3 linked regions of the Danio rerio genome follow. The protein of the gene in region 1 interacts with the protein of each later gene in a biochemical or structural test. Links are inferred from orthologs where the notes say so. Each region holds a gene or a part of one and is shown on either strand. Other genes may lie near its edges.

What was found.
Region 2: the proteins of ranbp3a (region 1) and xpo1b form a complex in vitro, tested with the Homo sapiens proteins (2 studies listed by BioGRID). The link is inferred for Danio rerio from reciprocal best matches to the Homo sapiens genes RANBP3 and XPO1.
Region 3: the proteins of ranbp3a (region 1) and rcc1 form a complex in vitro, tested with the Homo sapiens proteins (2 studies listed by BioGRID). The link is inferred for Danio rerio from reciprocal best matches to the Homo sapiens genes RANBP3 and RCC1.

The regions. Positions count from the first base shown.
Region 1 is NC_133186.1:6,431,508-6,437,924, forward strand, and holds part of ranbp3a (ran-binding protein 3a), read left to right. Parts: coding exon 1-72; intron 73-180; coding exon 181-252; intron 253-1,262; coding exon 1,263-1,328; intron 1,329-3,428; coding exon 3,429-3,521; intron 3,522-3,607; coding exon 3,608-3,720; intron 3,721-4,372; coding exon 4,373-4,477; intron 4,478-6,417. UniProt on the Homo sapiens protein: Acts as a cofactor for XPO1/CRM1-mediated nuclear export, perhaps as export complex scaffolding protein. Bound to XPO1/CRM1, stabilizes the XPO1/CRM1-cargo interaction. In the absence of Ran-bound GTP prevents binding of XPO1/CRM1 to the nuclear pore complex.
Region 2 is NC_133192.1:25,331,749-25,337,686, reverse strand, and holds part of xpo1b (exportin-1), read right to left. Parts: intron 4,508-5,938; coding exon 4,313-4,507; intron 3,237-4,312; coding exon 3,068-3,236; intron 2,980-3,067; coding exon 2,845-2,979; intron 2,544-2,844; coding exon 2,384-2,543; intron 2,027-2,383; coding exon 1,930-2,026; intron 129-1,929; coding exon 1-128. UniProt on the Homo sapiens protein: Mediates the nuclear export of cellular proteins (cargos) bearing a leucine-rich nuclear export signal (NES) and of RNAs.
Region 3 is NC_133191.1:37,414,056-37,420,371, forward strand, and holds the end of rcc1 (regulator of chromosome condensation), read right to left. Parts: intron 5,720-6,316; coding exon 5,623-5,719; intron 5,550-5,622; coding exon 5,427-5,549; intron 4,934-5,426; coding exon 4,787-4,933; intron 4,707-4,786; coding exon 4,587-4,706; intron 4,473-4,586; coding exon 4,320-4,472; intron 2,426-4,319; coding exon 2,250-2,425; 3' UTR 1,670-2,249; downstream 1-1,669. UniProt on the Homo sapiens protein: Guanine-nucleotide releasing factor that promotes the exchange of Ran-bound GDP by GTP, and thereby plays an important role in RAN-mediated functions in nuclear import and mitosis.

The sequences.
Region 1 (6,417 bases):
ATGGCAGTTACAGCCCTGCTGCCAAAAGAGGCCGAACGTCACCATTTACACAGTTCCCACCAACTCATTCCGGTCAGCCAGAGATTTAGAAAAATATTGACAATTCTTCATCTTACATTAAGCGCTTCTTCTGTTTAGCCTTGTTTATTTTTGACAAAAAAAATTCCCCTCTTTTTGCAGTGTCTAAGAATAATGTTTTCATGCCATCCAGTCTCTGTCAGTCACCAACTGAAAACTCAGACTCTGAACCTGGTAAGATTTAGATTTGCTTTAAATGTACTTTGAACATACTGTGGCCGAGAGAGCTTAACACACTGCAACAAGGGCTGTGCAATTATTTGAAATTCAGTTTCGATTTTAGCTTCCAACGTTTACTTTAATCGAGATAAAACGATTATTGTGTGAAATCCCGCCCCCTTTACAGCAGTACGCATTTGTTTCACTGCAAAGCTCCGTTTCTCATGAAAATTTGTAAAAGCATGTACTGTAATGTGATTTTTGCAGCATGGGACGCCTTTCATCTGGCTTTTATATTGAATTCTATGGAGTAAAACCGCAATTGATAGTGTGTTACAGACTTAATTAATAGACTTACTATGTTTATTGTGTTCTGAGAGCTGAGCAGCTTATTTTTGATTTTCTCAAACAGGTCTCTCTTACACTCTCACACACACTTTTTTGCACTGTAACTGAGAAACAACAGTAAAGATTACACATTTTACCAAACCAAATGGCGCCGGTTGGCCACGCCTACTAGCTTTATTTGCGCCTTTCAGAAACCTATGGGTGACATCATGGATACTACTTCCATAACTTTTACAGTCTGTGCTTACAACACGCGTCCTGTCAAACCGATGAAGTCGTTGCATGTTGCATGTTTCTGCTGATAACACCAAAGATTATAGAATGCATAAGACGTGTCACTCGTATAGTTTTGAATGGGGAACAGTCAATATGGCGAATGATGCCTCACCTTTTAGTACAGGAACCAATTATTGATCGCTATATAGACTGATGATTCTCAGGGGGAGGGGCTCAGAACAGATGAGAAATGACTTTGGTTAAGCTCTCTCAGCCACCGTATGAACATCATGAATGGAAATCAAATGGTGTTTTGTTAAACAGACTTGTAAAATAATGTTGTTTTGAAAGTTTACCAAGACAAATATTTGCACAATATGTAAATTGTCTGAAAGTAGTATGTGTTCGATTTCCGATCACATCGACCAATCTTGTTTTCTTTACTTGACTTTTTTGATTAGAAGAGAAGACTGTGGGGTTTCGCCTGAAGCCCCCGACTCTGATCCACGGCCAGGCTCCGAGTGCTGGTGAGTCAGTGTTGGAACATCTGCTGTTTTGTACAGCGTGTTGATTAATGTCCAGTTGTGCTGTTTTCATGAGCTTGTTTATTTACACGGCTCCAAGCACTCACATTCACACTGTGATCCTTCTGAATCAGAAAACATAAGAGGTCTTGACAGGGTTGACGGATGCGTTTCTGTCACCAGGGTTCTGATTTACAAATTCTTTGCAGTTAAAAGTAAACGTACACCAGAATAATTTGTAATTAATGATTTTGTCAGTTAATAATATGATTGTGCTATTAATATTAAGGTTAAAAGGGCTGTATGTAAGTTTTTTACTCTTCTAAAGCGTAAAATACCATAATAAGTTTGCAGATATTTAAGAAACATTACATCACACTATGCTATCCGAACCGTGCCCAGCCCCATTTCCCGGATCGTTTGAGAAGTGTGAGTGCTCTCAATCGGGCTCAGGCACAGTTCACTTGGCCGGCCCTGGCCCGGTTGGATAAGGTGTGCCAGAGTGCGGTTCACTTGGGCTTTGGCTCTGTTTGCTTGTGTGGGTGCAAAACGTGCCTGAGTCAGAAACTGAAAGCGGGACGTGACTTTTAAGGGATATACGGATTTATTAATCATTTTTACTGTTCAATAAACGCAAACTGTCATAGTTTATTAAAGACGCAAACCCCTCACTGCACGACAGCTGCACCTTCAGCAAACCTCCTCATTCCTGCAGCACGAGGACTTTATGATTGTTTATGAGCGTCAGAAGTGGCTGATCTATTCGACGAAATATTTGACTACGTGTCACCGCATCCCAAACGACTAAAGCGATAGTCGCTTGCTGAACAGCGCATTATCGATGACGTAAACATGCCCAGGCCTGAATGTGATGTGAGTGCGGGCCATCGGGGGAGACGGGAGGGGGCGACAATCGTGCTTTGGCCCGGTTCAAGGCCACTGTATATAGTGTGAGTACAAGTGAACATTCTTGTTTATCAGAAAAACAAATCTCGTTACGTAGTGTGTTGTTAGTACACGGGGTTAATGTAACCTGCTCACCTAATGTTTACGTTCACAATATTTATACTTTTTGCTAATTAATAACCACCTCATGTGGAACTCTGAATCTGCATCTCATTTCGGAGTCTGCTACTGTCCACTGGAGGTCCCATTTCATTCACCATGCACACTTTGTGAGCCTTCCTGACTGAATGAATGAAATATGCGGTTTTCAACCAAGGCAACGCAGAGTGCTGAAATGTAATTGGCTGAACTGCGAACTTTAAACTGTTAAAAATCTGCAAATATTTTAAGGTATTTTTATGCTTTAGAAGAGTCAAAAACTCAGCATCTTTAAATAAAAAACAACAGTTTTTTACTTTTTTTTTTATTAAATGCTAATGGTCATATTCAATTCAATTCAATTCAGCTTTATTTGTATAGCGCTTTTACAATGTAGATTGTGTCAAAGCAGCTTCACATAAATGGTCATAGTAACTGGAACAGTGTGGTTCAGGTTTTAGTGTTTAAGTTCAGTTCAGTTTAGCTCAGTTCAGTGTGATTTAATCATTACTGAGAGTTCAAACACTGAAGAGCAAATTCATCGATGCGTAGCTCTACCAATCCTGAACCATGCGAGGCAGTGGCGACAGCGGAGAGGGAAAAAAAAACTTCACCTGATGGGAGTGAAGAAAAAAAACCTTGAGAGAACCAGACTCAGTTGGGCACGACCATTTTAATTTCTCCGCTGGCCAAAAGTCTTGTGCAGAGCTTCATTCGCCGTGGTTTAGGCTGGAAGATCACTGTTCTAAGGGGGGCACTGTTCTGAGGGGGGCTCATATCTGTTTTAATCCATTATGCTAAGCTAAAGTGACCCTGCCAGAACAAAGAAATTGGCTGAATGTAGTCAAAAATGGTTGAAGTTGACAAGGAGACTTGTAAAACAAGCCATTTTCAAAAATAGGTGAAGCGTTCCTTTAAAACACAAGCAAATGATAAACTTTCACTCGCTTATGGTTATACTTTGCATTGGGATGATGATGTGACTATTGAAGACGCACATTGCAATATAGATGCTGAGGCTTTCTTAATGTTAATTGTTATTTAATTGGTTTCTTTCAGGTGTCCCCAGTCCAAAACCCAAAGAAGCCCAGCGGAGCATCCTGAGGCCTCCCGTCCTGCAGCCCCCTCCGGTCAAAAGCCCCCCTCAGAACAGTGAGTACACCACGAAGATCCTCTCACAGAGAAAAGCTGAAGGGGAAGCACAGCAGGTGACAGCTGACGTCTTTTTCTTTCACCAGACATAAGCAGCAACAGTTCAAATGGAGTGAAAAAGCTCTCAGATGGAGGAACAGAATGTGAAGGTCACTCAGAGGCATCCGCTGCTGGCACTCAGGAAAATTCGGAGTCATTGGTAAGATACGACACACTTAAAGCCATGTCCCAAACAGCACTGTTGTCTGCTTTAAATTGTCACGCAAAAACTATGAGGTGCATTTTGGTGGGTAGTACCGGCATGATCATGCAGTGCTGCAGAAAGGCTGGTACTTTTACCTTTTTAAAAATAAAGTACACGCTTGGTACAAATTTACTTTATCAACACTGTTCAAAATACTTTAATCAATGGAGCTAACTTGCTATAAAAAATTATATTTTGCAAAACATTTTGCTTGAAAAATGTGCACTCTCTAATCAATTTCAATAACAATCCCACTATAATACTTTATTTTCTATGTATATTTAAAATGTTAATATATTTTTAAATTGTGGATTAAGTGTCTACATACTTTTATGGGCCACTGTAATGTTTAAACACTGTGTTTTTCTTCAAGATAAGCGTGTTTGAACGCAGCACGGGCTCTGGTCCAGAAGCCAGACAAGTTTCGTTTTATTTTACATGGCTGTGGCTTCCAGAAAATACTTTATCATCTTGTTCTGAACAACTTCGTTTTTCTTGGCTGACCCTGTGTTTCTAGATGAAATTGTGAAACGTGTACGCTGAAAACTGAACAAAATGTTTGACTGGTCACACCTTTAACTTAAATTACCTTTCATTGTTTTTTAAGGACAAGAGCACTTTGGAGCCCGAAACAGATGACAAACCAGAGCAACACGGTGCCCAGATTGATGCCAGTTTTGTATTTGGAGAGAATATGAGGGACAGAGCAAAGGTTTAATTCAGTTGATTTGGATAATTTTTATAGCTTCTGATATATAAACATAGTAAAGTTCAATTCATGTAAAAGCACGGACCATTTCAAAGAATTATGTTGAAAGTGCTTCAGTGGTTTGTTTGCATCATTATCAGAATTTTGTTTAGAAGTCACCACATAACAATAGTGAATGTTAATTAAAAATCTGCACTAAAGTTGCAGTCCATTATTATAATTTTTTAAATGAAATTAATACTTGAATTCTGCAAAGTGTATTAATTTCACCAAAGACTAATTTATAATGTTACAAAAGTTTAAATCATTACTAATCTATATATATATCTATATATATATACACACACACACACACATACATATATACATATATATATATATAATATATATATATATATCAGTTTTCACAAAATTATTATGGAGCTCAAATGTTGACCGCAGTGATAATGCGATAGAGAAATAAGAACTAAATGATTGTATTAGAATGATTTTGGATCAAATCACTGAATGCTAATATTCAGATTTAACACAAAAGTAGCATTTTAAGCTATACAATAATATTGACTCGTATTTAAAATTTGAATAATGTTTTACACTTCTACAGTATTTTGTTTTGAATTAAAAGCATTAACAAATCTTCCCGACTCCAAACTTCTGAACAGTAGTGTGTACTACCAAATGTTGCTTGTCATTAGGGCAGACAGAATCTGCTAACATTTTTTGCTATTTCTGCCCAGAATTTGGTAAAAAATCTGAAACCTAATATGAAATAAAAGTAATACATTTTAAACTTGTATTTAATGTTTACAATGCAAATCCAATTAGATCCATTGTTTGGTAAACTAAGCAAGTATCTCATATAATATATCTGCTAAAAGACATAAAATATTACTTTACAAACTTTGTTGTAAATAAATCTTATGAACAAAAATTTACAAGTAAATAAATAGCCTCAATGATGGGCTAAAAATCTCCGTAAATCTGCTTGTGCAGATTCCGTGTGGGCCTACTCATCATTATTATTATTTTGACAAAAAGTTGAAGACTGAGTTTCAGATTAAAGAATTCTCTATTTTTACATATTATGTCCACATATTACATATTAAATAAAATCAAATAAACCTACCCACATCACAGGCCATCCTGCAAAAGACTTAACAATCTAGTCGCAAAGTCTAAAGCACATGGCACAAAAGCATTAAGGACTTGTCCCAATCGACTTTTGCTATTTTAAGGACAGAAAAATTTGGTCTGCAGCCCCGACGCATGGTCTAACAGGGTTGTGTTTATTTTCTTAATGAGTTACAGGTGTGTTTTGAGCAGAGCTTTAAACCAATCAGAGTCTCATCTCCTATTCCTTTTACGAGTCAGTTGCGTCATGCCATGGCACATTTGCTATTAACATGGCGGACTTTATAAGTGGAAAAACTGAACCCTTCACTAGCATGAAAACAGTTAAACCATCTGCAGCACGATTATAAAGAAAGAGCCTCCTCCGTTCAGCCTTTCTCAACTTTCTCTTTACTTTTCCTATTTTTTTTTCTCCTTTACTTTCGTAGAGTAATAAAACGGTGTTGTACACACCAAATGAATTTGCTATTTACTCAACATGGTGAAAATGTAAAAATTACAGTTGCGCTGATCTGAAAATAGCAACAAATCATGCCAAACACGTCTTGCGCCTTATTGCGCTGTGTTTATGATGGGGCCCTTTGTATTTAAAAAACACTGTTAAATCATCATTATTATTTTAAACTAGATTTTAATGTTTTAGTTTAGATTTGATAGTTCCGTTTTTACCCTTAAGTTATTTATTTACCCTTAAGTTAAAGTAATTGACAATAATGTTTCATTTATATTTTGTTTTTATTTTATTTTTTAACATATCACGATTTCGTTGTCATATTACCCATTCCTTTTAATAATAATAATAATAAAAAAGC
Region 2 (5,938 bases), on another chromosome or scaffold:
GGTATTTCATGAGGGTTGAGGATGCCAGGCACGGACATCTGCAGCTTGTGTTTCTCCTCCTGGGCCTGACGCAATGATGCCTCCCGCTCCTCCAGGAACAGATCAGATGTGTCCTCACCGGCAAACTCCTGCAGGTACACAGAGAATCCAGTCAGCGGTTTATGGTTGCTACTAGCACAGATTGATCTCTGCTATAATTGTCCTCTCTCTATCTTTCACACACAGATCTGGTCAGGACGTAATAATGTTCAGGGTTCACACTCTAAACCAAATGGCAAATTCCCTGATATTCAGCTCCTAAAAAGCTGAATATCCATGAACTATAATGAACAGTACACGAGCAGCAGTGTTGAGCAGTCTCTCTAGATCTGAATAATTCCGCAGTCGCTAAATTAAACGCAAAATAAAACATATGGTGCAAAACCTGAAAACAATTTTTAAGTGCTGGAGGTTTTTCCTCGAGATTTTGGCTAACCAGGACACTGTTCAAATTTCTACCATGTCATCTGCATTATTTATTATTATTTTTTATTGTATTTTGCCTAATTACCCTAACTTGCCGACTTAACCTGGTTAAGCCTTTACATGTCACCAGAAAAATATCTTTTAGTCAAATATTATTATCATTATGGCAAAAATAAAATATATTAGTTATTAGAAATGAGTAATTAAATCTATAGAAATGTGTTGATAAAATCTTACTGGTAATAATATAATATATAATCTGTATACCATTTTATGTTAAAAATAATGGTTAAATGTTATATTTTTGATGGTTAAATGACTAATGTGCGCTGGGCTAATCAGTTATTCCATTAAACAGCAGTTTCTTTAGTTATTCCATAGTTACCATTAATAAGGTTCAAATTGGGTTAACACTACATGTTTTTTTTTTTTTTTAGGTGGAGCTGTCATTAGTATGTTTAAAAATTAGGTTCTCAATTTAATGCCCCACAATGACAAAAGTACATATGAGACCATGCATTCAGGTTTAAGTGTTCACCTGGACTGATATTGCACAAAAGTAAGAGAAGGAATTAAGCGGGGACTATCCTTGGTGAATTTAGTCTTGACAGGCTAAATTAAGTTATTCTTTGCAGCTAGCCTACACCAGAGCAGGCTAACAACCAGGCTAAGATTAATCCTAGTGATTTATAATGTTAGTTTTAATGTCAATGCTACTAGAAATGAATGCGTTTTACATATCTTTTTTGTATTACTTATTATTATTATTATTATATAGTTTTTTTTTTTGATGAAACCTCAAATAAAAGATTAAATAGTCTCAATTATGAAGAAAAAAAGTATAAATGGAAATGATAGATAAATGATTATACTGATAAAGATTAAATAAACTTAATACAATAAAATAAACAGACAACGGGAGTTTCCAGATTGGTGGACAATAGAGGCATTTTTTAACTCACATCAGGTTTTATCAATATTTGTTACCATTGATTCTGTAATCGATCCTGTAATCTGTTAACATGTGCGTGAATGTCCACACATCCTGGCTATCAACATCAGGTTTGACATAGCGGCTTGTTCTCATCCTGGATAAGCAAATGTGCAATGGACTAAGCCTAGAGGACCTAATTAAACTAGGTCAAGCCATGCTTCTTCTGTTATCCTGGCTTTCTTGATTTCAATTTTCTACAATAACGCTCAGGATATAAAAACATGTACGTATACACACACACACACACTCTGTTCCCATGCACTTCAGCTGACCCATACAGTTTCACCACCCTTCATGGTCTCTTAAAAGGTCAAAGTTACAGCACACTTGCTTCCTCACACCATCTCCATTTCCTCCACTCACACCCTCATCTATCATCTGCTCAAATACGTCATTACTACTGACATTGTATTAAAGGCAACCCAATTTATTTAGAGATTATTAAGGCTCTCAACTGGTTTGCAGCTCACCTTGATCTGTACAAGGAAATCCCTCAAGTGCTCCTTGAATGCTGCGATGTCTTGGTTTAAACTGAACAGGCCAGTCACAAATACTTTTACCTGGGCACTACAAAGAGGAAGAAAACAATCATACAGTCAGATTGGAAATGAAACTAGACATGAACAGTTTGCAGACTGTTGCTGCAGAACTAAAACTGTATTAATTAATCTCACAGCAAGATGTCTACTGAGAACAAACAAGCTTTTACCTGAGAGATGTGTTGCATGACATTCAACCAAATGCAATTATCACCAAAACAACTGCAGTTAGTGGATTTACTGACACTGATTTTATTATTAACCTCCTAATGCTCTGAAAATCTGTATAGTACTTGGGTCCTTCTAAACCCAACGCATTAGTATTCCTTTTTCAAAAGATGCAGGTTTGTGAAGCATCAGCTCAGGTGCATTGTGGGATACTCACTCTTGTAAGTGTGGGAAAGCTGATTTAAGCAAGTTGGCCACATACTCCTGGATGAACACTTGGTTGTTGACTGGGTTTGATGGGTTCAGAGTTGTACTGATTTTTCCTTCCTCGACGAGGTTAAACATGTACGCTAATATTGATGCGTGCATAGTTAAACCTAAAGTTTTAATGCAAAAAAAAAAATGACATATATAAGAACTGAATTATAAAAACTAGAGTCAAGCCTGAAATTATTCATACCCAAGCAAATTCTGACCTAAAGCTTTTGTTCGAATGTGAATAAAAGCTGAGAATTTGATGCCTCTTGTACATAGTCCTATTGTCTTTTAGGAGAAGCCCATGTCGCTTCTGTAAAGTAATTTTAAGTCAAAATTTGCCAGGGGTATAAACTATTTCAGGCTTGCAATGATTTAAAATAATTAATAGAGTGTTTTAAGGAGCAAGTGATAGGAGCTGACCGGCTGTGTGTGACGTGTCCGTGACGACAGAGAAGATGTGTTGAAGGATGTCACAGAAGTATGTCTGATAGAAGCTCTGAGCCGCTGCCTCCTCCTGAGCCACATTCTGCAGCAGAGTGTAGAGGATCTGCAGGCCTGCAGGACATTTCACATTGTATGTTATGCTTAATGATTATGGTTTATCAGTTAGGCATTACGGTACATAAGATATCAGTGTTCTCACCAGTGTCTGCCACATTTCTCATAGTGTGTTTAAAAGCCCATATAATGGAGTCCAGCACAAGCTTAAACTGGGCTGGGGGTATGGCCAAGAATGCAGGGAAACAGTGAGAGTTCACCGCCTGAAGCAGGTAGAAGAAATGCGTCCGGTGCTCTGGGTACTCTTCAAAATCCTAAACAAAAATATAAATGTATACTAGTTATTTAGTTGTTTATTTTTTATATCATGGAAAATAAATGGGGACTATATTATATAATATTTTCCCTTTTTACATCATTTAATAATTTTCTTTTTACGTGATAAACATTTATTAATTTCTGGTAAAATCTTATGCATTTCATTATAAATTAATAAATAAAGTAATAGTACTAGTGTTAAAAGTTTAATAAAATGTGTTTGATGAAAAGCGAATCGTAAAAAAGCGAATAATAAATTAATTTATCCATTCATAAATATTAGTACTAGTATTAAAGGTTTTTTTTATCTTTAAGCAAAATGGTTTTTGCAAAAAAAAAAAAAAACATTTGATCAAATATTGAAAGTCTCTTTATGATTTAGGAATTAATTTAGGTAAGGCTTTATTTTTATGGTCCCTATTGCACATTTTGTTGACAAAGTTGCATTGCAACCACATGACAATCATTTCTTATTTGAGTATTAGTAGACTGTCTGCTTAATATCAGTTGATACTGCTGTTTCAACAGACATTAAACTGACTATAAAAACTTTGCAAGTACATATCAACTTAAACTAACCCTTACCTAACAGTCTACTTATAATCTAATGAGAATTAACTGGCATGTAGATGCAATGTTTGTTCAATTCAACAAAATGCGTTTAAGGGACCATCAAAATAAAGTGATACCGTAATTTATTGTAAGTGAATGTACATAAACCCAGGTAAAAAAGGAATATAATGCAATTCAATGTGGGACACAATCTGCCCCTCGAGGATTTTGCTGGGAAAATTATTTTTATATTTGTGGCGTAAAATGACAGATTTTGTGATGCTTTCTCAAAACGTATGACATTGTGCACTTCAATTCTTGTGTTATGCTTTGAAAATACACAAACATTTTACAATTTGTATATTTTTGATCTCAAGAACCACTAGATTCAAAATTCTGGAGGGACTGAACAACAAACATGAATATAAGAAGTATGATGCAATCTGGCTTTAATAATAAATGACAATGTACTATTAAATATTTATTTCATAATAGTGATGGATAAACAAATGCAGCTTACTTTGTTGATCATGTTTAATGTGCACTCAAACACTGCATCAAATATCTGTGGGATCTCTCCAGTGATGTGTCCACCCAGTTTGTTTACGATTGTTGCCATGGTGCTGAGGACTTCCGGTTCTCTCGCCGCCGGAACATTGCGCTGATAATCAATGAGCACAGCATCCAGCAATGGAGGGACAAAGTTCTCCCCCACCTAGAGCATGAACAAAAAAAAAACACACATGCGCACACAGGCTTAAAGGATGAGCGGATAAGTGTGTGTTGCGTAAGGACATCACTAATCTCAACAGGTTCAGACTGACAGACCTGAAGCAGGTAGAACAGCATGATCTGCATGGAGACAAATACTGAATTTAACAAACGGACAGATATGAGACTTTCGGCTGCTGCAATCATTTCTTGCTTATTCTAAAATAAATTTTGGCCGTTGTGGAGTCTTGTTTTGCTATATTAAAGATAATGATTTTACTTTGATTTAATCACTGAGTGCTATTTGTGAACACAAGAATGGTTTGATTGGTTAATTAAATTTTCATGGAATGCTCAGATAAGAGCACATTTTTTTGTTTGTTGTTGTTATTTTCTAAACCACATTTTTCAGGGTGTGGATGGATAATTTACTGTTAGCTTTTCTCATTGCTTTTAACACTATTTATTTGTTATTATTCACCAATAATGCTATTTGTTTTTATCCATTTCTCCCATAGACAACTGAATCAAATAGCAAAAACGCACTTCTGCATCGCAATATAAGGTCAATAAGCAAAGTGCATTTCTTATGTTCTGTTACATGACATGTTTTTTTTCCAACAATTTTTTATGTTGCCACTGGATAACATTAAATGCATAGTTAAATATGGATTAAACACTTTCTTTGAGCAATTCCCATGTTATGGATGTGACATTACTTGGCACTAAAAACTTAAAACATAAATGCACAGAGAAAGTACTGTATGTTAACTTTATATTGAAACATCTGTTTATATTTTCCAAAACAACTAAACACAGAATAATAAGATGAGAAAAATATCAATCGGTAAACATTTTTTATATTTTAAAAGATAAAAATAAACATGCGTTATGGATGGGACCAAAAAAAAAAGTTTACAGTTTACAAAATACTTTGAAGCAGGGCTGCTCAACCCTGTTCCTGGAGATCTACCTTCCTACAGTGTTCAGCTTTAACCCTGATCAAACACACCTGAACCAATGAATTAGGGCCTGAACAGCACTTAATAATTACAGGCAGGTGTGTTTAATCAGGGTTGCAACTGGAATCTGCAGGAAGGTAAATCTCCAAGAACAGGGTTAAGCTCCACTCCTTTGAAGAACGTCAGTGAATTAGCCAAAAGCACAAGCCAAAAGCAATAATGCCATTCAAAAGGATAAGAGTTGGCTCTCTATAAAACAAAATGATTGCTTATGTATGTATATATGTATGTATATATATATATATATATATATATATATATATATATATATATATATATATATATATATATATATATATATATATATATATATATATATATATATATATAATTTTTTTTTTTATTGATGAGGAATAAGCTTTATTATTAAATGTTTAGATGAAGTGTAATAAGTCATACTGGAAGACAATATA
Region 3 (6,316 bases), on another chromosome or scaffold:
CCACTTTCAACAGCATTATTCTCACTACTCATGAGTACTTTTTAAAGGGCTATTTTTTTACTCCTACTTTGAGTAATATTTAAAACAGTAAAATTTGCTTAAATGATCCAAGGTGATTTGACAGATCCTGGATCTTTTAATCTTGATGACTGATCTCTGGCTAATTTGGGTCTTGACAAGTTGGCGAATCACATTAAAATGTCTGGATAAACTGATCCGAGATCTCTGTGAGTGTTGTGAAGAACAGATCTATTGACCCTTGAAATCATGATCAACAATGCAACGATTGGCTGATGGCACAGCAGCGTAACGACCATCTGATTAATATTTAATTATTCATGTGAGCAAAATTACCTTAAACTCGTAGTGAATGGTTTGTGAAATATGATGCGCAATAGCTCTTCACTTTTGTTGTGAGCTGCAGACTTTACACTTTCATGTGTCAAGAATATTTAGTTTTACATTTAGAGCGGACTTTCTTTAGTGACCTAGGCCATTTCAAGTTTCTTAATCGGCTTAATTTGGCAAGTTTCTTAAAAGAAATAACTGGCTGGTTAAAAAAGCTTCGATATCAGTAAAGGTATCTACAACTTCGACGAAGCATCAATTCACCATCATATTAGCAGTCAAAACATGTGCAAGACCGCATAAATTATTCCTTAAAAAAATAAAAAAGTGAAATATTGTGCATGTCTAATATTATAGACAAACTGTACTAAAGCTGGTACCGTAAAAATGCTATGCATTTGTATATTTGTATATAATGTTAACTATATCCAGCTAATAGAGTAATCCACATATGAAGAACAGACCCCTGAGCTATATATACAAATTATTGAAGGTTTAAAGCAATGTTTGCTACTTTAGCATTATATGTCTCAAGTAAAATCAATAGCTGTTTCCATCCAAAAATGAGAATGAACCATGCAAAACTGGATTATCGCATAAAAGAAGTGCGAATAAAGCAGCATTTTCATCCAAAGAGTCAAAGCGAACATAATCGTCACTTGCTGATTAACTGGCGCCAAATATCAACAGTAAAAACTGATTTTACTGCTGTAGGAGAAGCTGTGTCAATCTTTTCTTAATTTAATAAATGACTTCCGCCTCAGAAGGCAATCCTGACATGCTGTGAACGTTCGGTGGCATTTGAAGTTGTCAGACGTGGGGCACAGATGCTCTTGATTCTGGAGGTCATTAATAGTAAAAGATATCTAATGCTTAAACGGTATTAGTTAAACAGTAAGACGGTTTATGCGCATCATGGCGTTTCCATCAACCGTTTATGCGCATTGGCAAAACGTACATAAAAATAGGTGGTTGAAAACATAGCTACTGAGTCAATTTAATTTAGCAACTTATTTTTTTTTAAAAGCCATTAAATTTTCACAAAAAGCAACTCGAATATCATTACTTGTTTTTCATAGTAGTGTGTTACTTTACTCAGTTACAAAAGTAATATTATTCCGCAACTTGTATTACTGCAGCTCTCAAAATACATAAAAATAAATCCCAAATTAACCAATTACAAATTAACTAACTTACAAATACAAGCAGTACACCCCGAAGAATGTGAAAGTTATAACACTAAAGGCTTGAAATTGCATATTCAAAATAGACCCTAATATACCTGCTTAAATCAACTTTTTAGTGAGTACCCATATATCGGTTTCTGTAAACACACATTTTTATTAATCGTCCACAGGGCAGCAATGCATGGATACAATAACAGTTTCATTTAAGAGATTAAGAAAAAGAGTTCAACACTGTTAAGTACAGCAATACTGAATCAGTTTAGTTTTCTCCCCCCGAATGTGTTATTATCCTGATTAAACCTGCTATTGTAACCCGTTATTGCTCGCACCAAAATGTGGAATTTAAAAAAAAAACAGTTTCTGGGGAAACTCATTTTAAAAGACTTATTAAATCACGTATTCATGCATACAATCATTCGCAACAGGCAGTCTCTAGGAAGCATTCTAAAGATCTTTGTTAAAAAGAATTAAGAAAATAAAGCAAGGAAAAAAAAAAAGTCCATAAAAAAGGCTCTTTGATCATCTACCGGAGCATATCCAGTGAACATTTGGGCTCCCGATAAAGCGGGACAAAAGGTTTAATTAGATGATCCTCCCTCATTGACTGGCTTGGCTCAGCACAGGAAGCATTATGAACCCCAGACACCCCTATAGGTTACAGATACCACTGATACAGTAGTTTGGCTAAGCTGTCTTTAGTGGAGGAGTTAATGATCAGCTCTCCTGCTTATCTTTGACCAGCAGGACTGTGTGCTGCCCTCCGCTGGACACCGACAGAACCACACGGTTTTCCAGCTGTTTACCAGTCATCTCCACAGGGCTCCATTCATCCTCCTCCTCTCCTGTGCCCAGCTGCAGGTTGGTGCCCATTCCCCAGGAAAACACAGAGCCTGGCAAACACATACCAGCGTTAGAGAAGTCAAACAGCGCTAATGCAAAATCAAAACAAGCCTAGAGCACATCACGTTATTGTTTAATGTTCTAAAAATACAACACTCTGAGTGCTGCAATGAATGTAATTACGGGTGGAAGACACACTGTGAACAACAATACGTCATGTTCCATTTGCCATAAATACATAAATAGACAATGAATGCTAAAAGCTAAATGGACTGGTCAGTTTTGATCAGCTTCACACGGTGCAATTTAAATTATCAAAATACAAAAAAATCAATAAATATTGGATAAACCAACAAGCAATTTATTGAAAGAAGAAAAAAAAAAAAAAAAAAAAAAAAAAAAAAAAAAAAAACTTCCTTTATCCCACTAATACATTACCAGTCAACACTCCCACTTTAGCTTTAGGATTCTCCCATATTCTACCATTTAATCATCCCATTTAAGTATTTTCCATATTTCTCCCGTGTTTTTAATCTTTGTGTTGATGATTGTACTTTCACTTTTCATACAGAGCCGATCTCAAAAATGAAAAATGCAAGAGCTGTTCAAGAGAATTGTGGATTCACTATTGTGGCTTGAAAACACAATGAAATTAATCTAAAAACATATTCATTTATTTTTTTGTTTTAAAGTTTCCTGTTGCCTTAACTGTACAATCTCTGTATCAGTGCATGCATGTATTAATGCTGACTGACGGACACGGTCCGTATGATAAACTGTTCCCAGATCAGCTTCTGTACACATCATTTAGAGTGAATATAGTTACTTTTGGATTAGGGTGCATGTTTAAACCGACAAATACACTTAATAATATGTAAACAAATCCATCCTGCTTGTTTTATTTTAAACAACTAATTTTCACCAAAATGGAGCATAAACAGTTACTCAAGTAATCAAATGCTTTCATTAGCCTAAAGATCTGTGCATTCTTACAGTGACACCTCTTATCAAACAAAACGAGACTCATTTACTGTTCTTCACTAAATAACTATTAGTAATTAATCAATATTTAAACACAGCTTATGAAAGAGTGAACGAGATTAATAACGATTAAATTTCTGTATAGGCCATTGATTTTAATAGGCTAAACCTTTAATTTTATTGTCAATAATGCCTAACGTTTGCTATGTATTTTATCATTTGAAGCTAACTGTTGTCAATGTTGTCAGGTATGCTTTTATTACATGGTAACTCCTATACAAATATTTAACTGTTAAATCAAAATATGCAGTTTTCAGCAAAACTGATCAGTACTGGGACTGGAAAAAAAACAAAAAACAAACAAACAAACAAACAAACACTGAATCTGTACCCAAAGCTTTCTGCAAACAAGCAAACAGATCATCCGATGCATTCATTTACTCGCGTAGTTGTCTGTAAATGAATTTATTTAAAGATTTTTTATTTAATAAAAAAACATAAGAAAAAATACAATACAAGGTAATATGTATATTTACAATTCCATTATGGTTGTGCCATTTGCAGTAAAAACTTAATATAAATTGACAGTGAAAGTATAAGTTAACATTAAAACACCCCTTTATATTTTCCAAAAGAGTCTGCAGATTCTTTCCAGTCCAACTAATTATTTACTTCCTACAAAAAGACTTGCTACTAAAATTAAGGAAATTTAGAGTTGATTATTTGAACTGATATTATTATTATTATTATTTATTTTTTTAAGTCAAGCTAACTTTGTAATGCTTTCAAATATGGAAGGGTAAAAAGACCCCAAGAAAGATTTGATGATGGTGGATAAAGTAGTCTTAGTTGTTCATTTTGCATTTCAAAGTTGCATAACGACATGTAGTTTCATGTGCAATAAAAAAAAATGATCCACATTAAATCTAAATTCCATGAAAAAAGCAGAGGATGTGTTCTCACCTTGTTTGGTGACAGCGTAGCTAACAGAGGCACCACAGGCAACCACTTGAACATCACTGATCCCAGGAACAACTGTGGGCTCACTCTTCTCTCCGACGTCCTTCCCCAAACCCAGACGACCATACTCTGCCCGGCCTAGACTGTACGCCTTTCCTGTGGAGAGAAACAGCAGAAAAACATCCTTTATAAACACTGGAGCACATGATTCAGCAGCAGCAGAATATGAAACACCACACAGCTACGCAATGAGATTTGCGAATAAATTACCTTCTGAATTGAGGCACAGTGTGTGATGCTGTCCTCCAGAGAAACCCACCCAGGAGGTGGTGGAGTTTTTGAAAGAGCTGAGTTTCACAGGAACAAAGCAAGTGTTTGTGCTTTGGGTGCCTGTATTAAAGAAAAAAATATATAAAAAGAGTGCAAAATGCAACCATATTATCACCAGGATTAAATATGTAAAATCTTACCAAGCTGATGGTAGTTGGAAAGGCCAAATCCATAGACGTGCCCCTCTTTAGAAACAGCGAAGGTGAAGTATGCCCCACAGAAGACATCAGTGAAGACCACCTTCCCTCGCGGTTTTATTATAACCATCTGCGGCTCCAGCAGTCTCACTGAGACAGGGAAAATGAAAATATGAATACTCTGTAAAACACATTCAGCAATAATAGCAGTAACTGGAATGCCTACAAACCCTTTTCACTAACATTTATTAATCTTGCTACACATTCCTAAACTACATTTTAAAAATTAATAGGATCGATGAATGCCCTATAATGTCATTTTTGAAGGATCAAGTGTCACTGAATAATGAAGCAATGAATTATTACTCTAGTCTGTCTAGCATGACCCTTCAAAAATACATTTAATATGGTGATTTGTCAAGTGTGTTTTTTTGAATCCTGTAACAGCAGCTGATGCAAAAAATAAAAAATAAGGTCAATTGGAAAATAAAATATTTTTAAATGCCTACAGTACAAGTGGCCAATAATTAAAATACACACACATATACATGCATTCAAACAAAAACAAACAAAAAGATTCTCATAAGCTCATAAGGTTTATTCACATTCCAGGAGATAATTCATCCAACAGCAAGATACATACTCAATCCCTTCCTTCCTCCACGGTTGGCAAAGTGTTCAGCCACACGGCCCAGCTGGCCTTGTTCTCCACATCCTGAGGTGTACAGCTCTCCATGCGCAGTCAGCATGACCAAATGATCATTCCCTTTAGCAGCAATACAAAACACCATTAGAACAAATTCATACACTACCATCACATTACACCCTAAATGACCCACCTGAGACTATTTTAACCACAGGTTTGTCTATAGGAACTTTGACAGGCACAGTGCATTTTTTCATGGGCTCCAGGAGTCCAATTACGCCATTATTGTCCTGGAACAGAAAGGAGAAGTCAGAAGTCATAGAAGTCAAGTCAACACTTTCATACTAAACCAGTATTGCTACGAGCACAAAGAATTTTCACAATAAAAGTTTTAATTGAAAAAAAAAAAAAAAAAAAAAAAAAAAAAAAAAAAGCGATAACGTGTTTGATATATTTGTTTTAAAGCAGAATTAAATAGTATTGCTTTTTTGCATCATCCAGACAGTTTGTCCACTCACCACATTGATCACTTCCAACAGCAACACAGCAGAAGATCCGGTTTGTTTACATACAAGTTTAAGTATTATTTATTTATTTATAATTATTATTTTTTTAACCAACAACACAAATGATTTACAGCAGATGAAACAGCACTGATGTTCACAACAGCACTGCTAAAGAGAGATAGTGTGTCAAGAACAATCCAGTTAGAAAGTTGTTCTGTATTCTGCTAGACTGACCAAGGATTTGCTGTAGTACCAGAACAGGGTTTCTGCAACTTTCATCAAGTCAAATTTAAGACCCATTTGAGACCATTATGAATTAAATTTTAGACTTATACAGGGCTTTACACGAATGATTATTTCTAATGGCCCGGTTTCCAAATA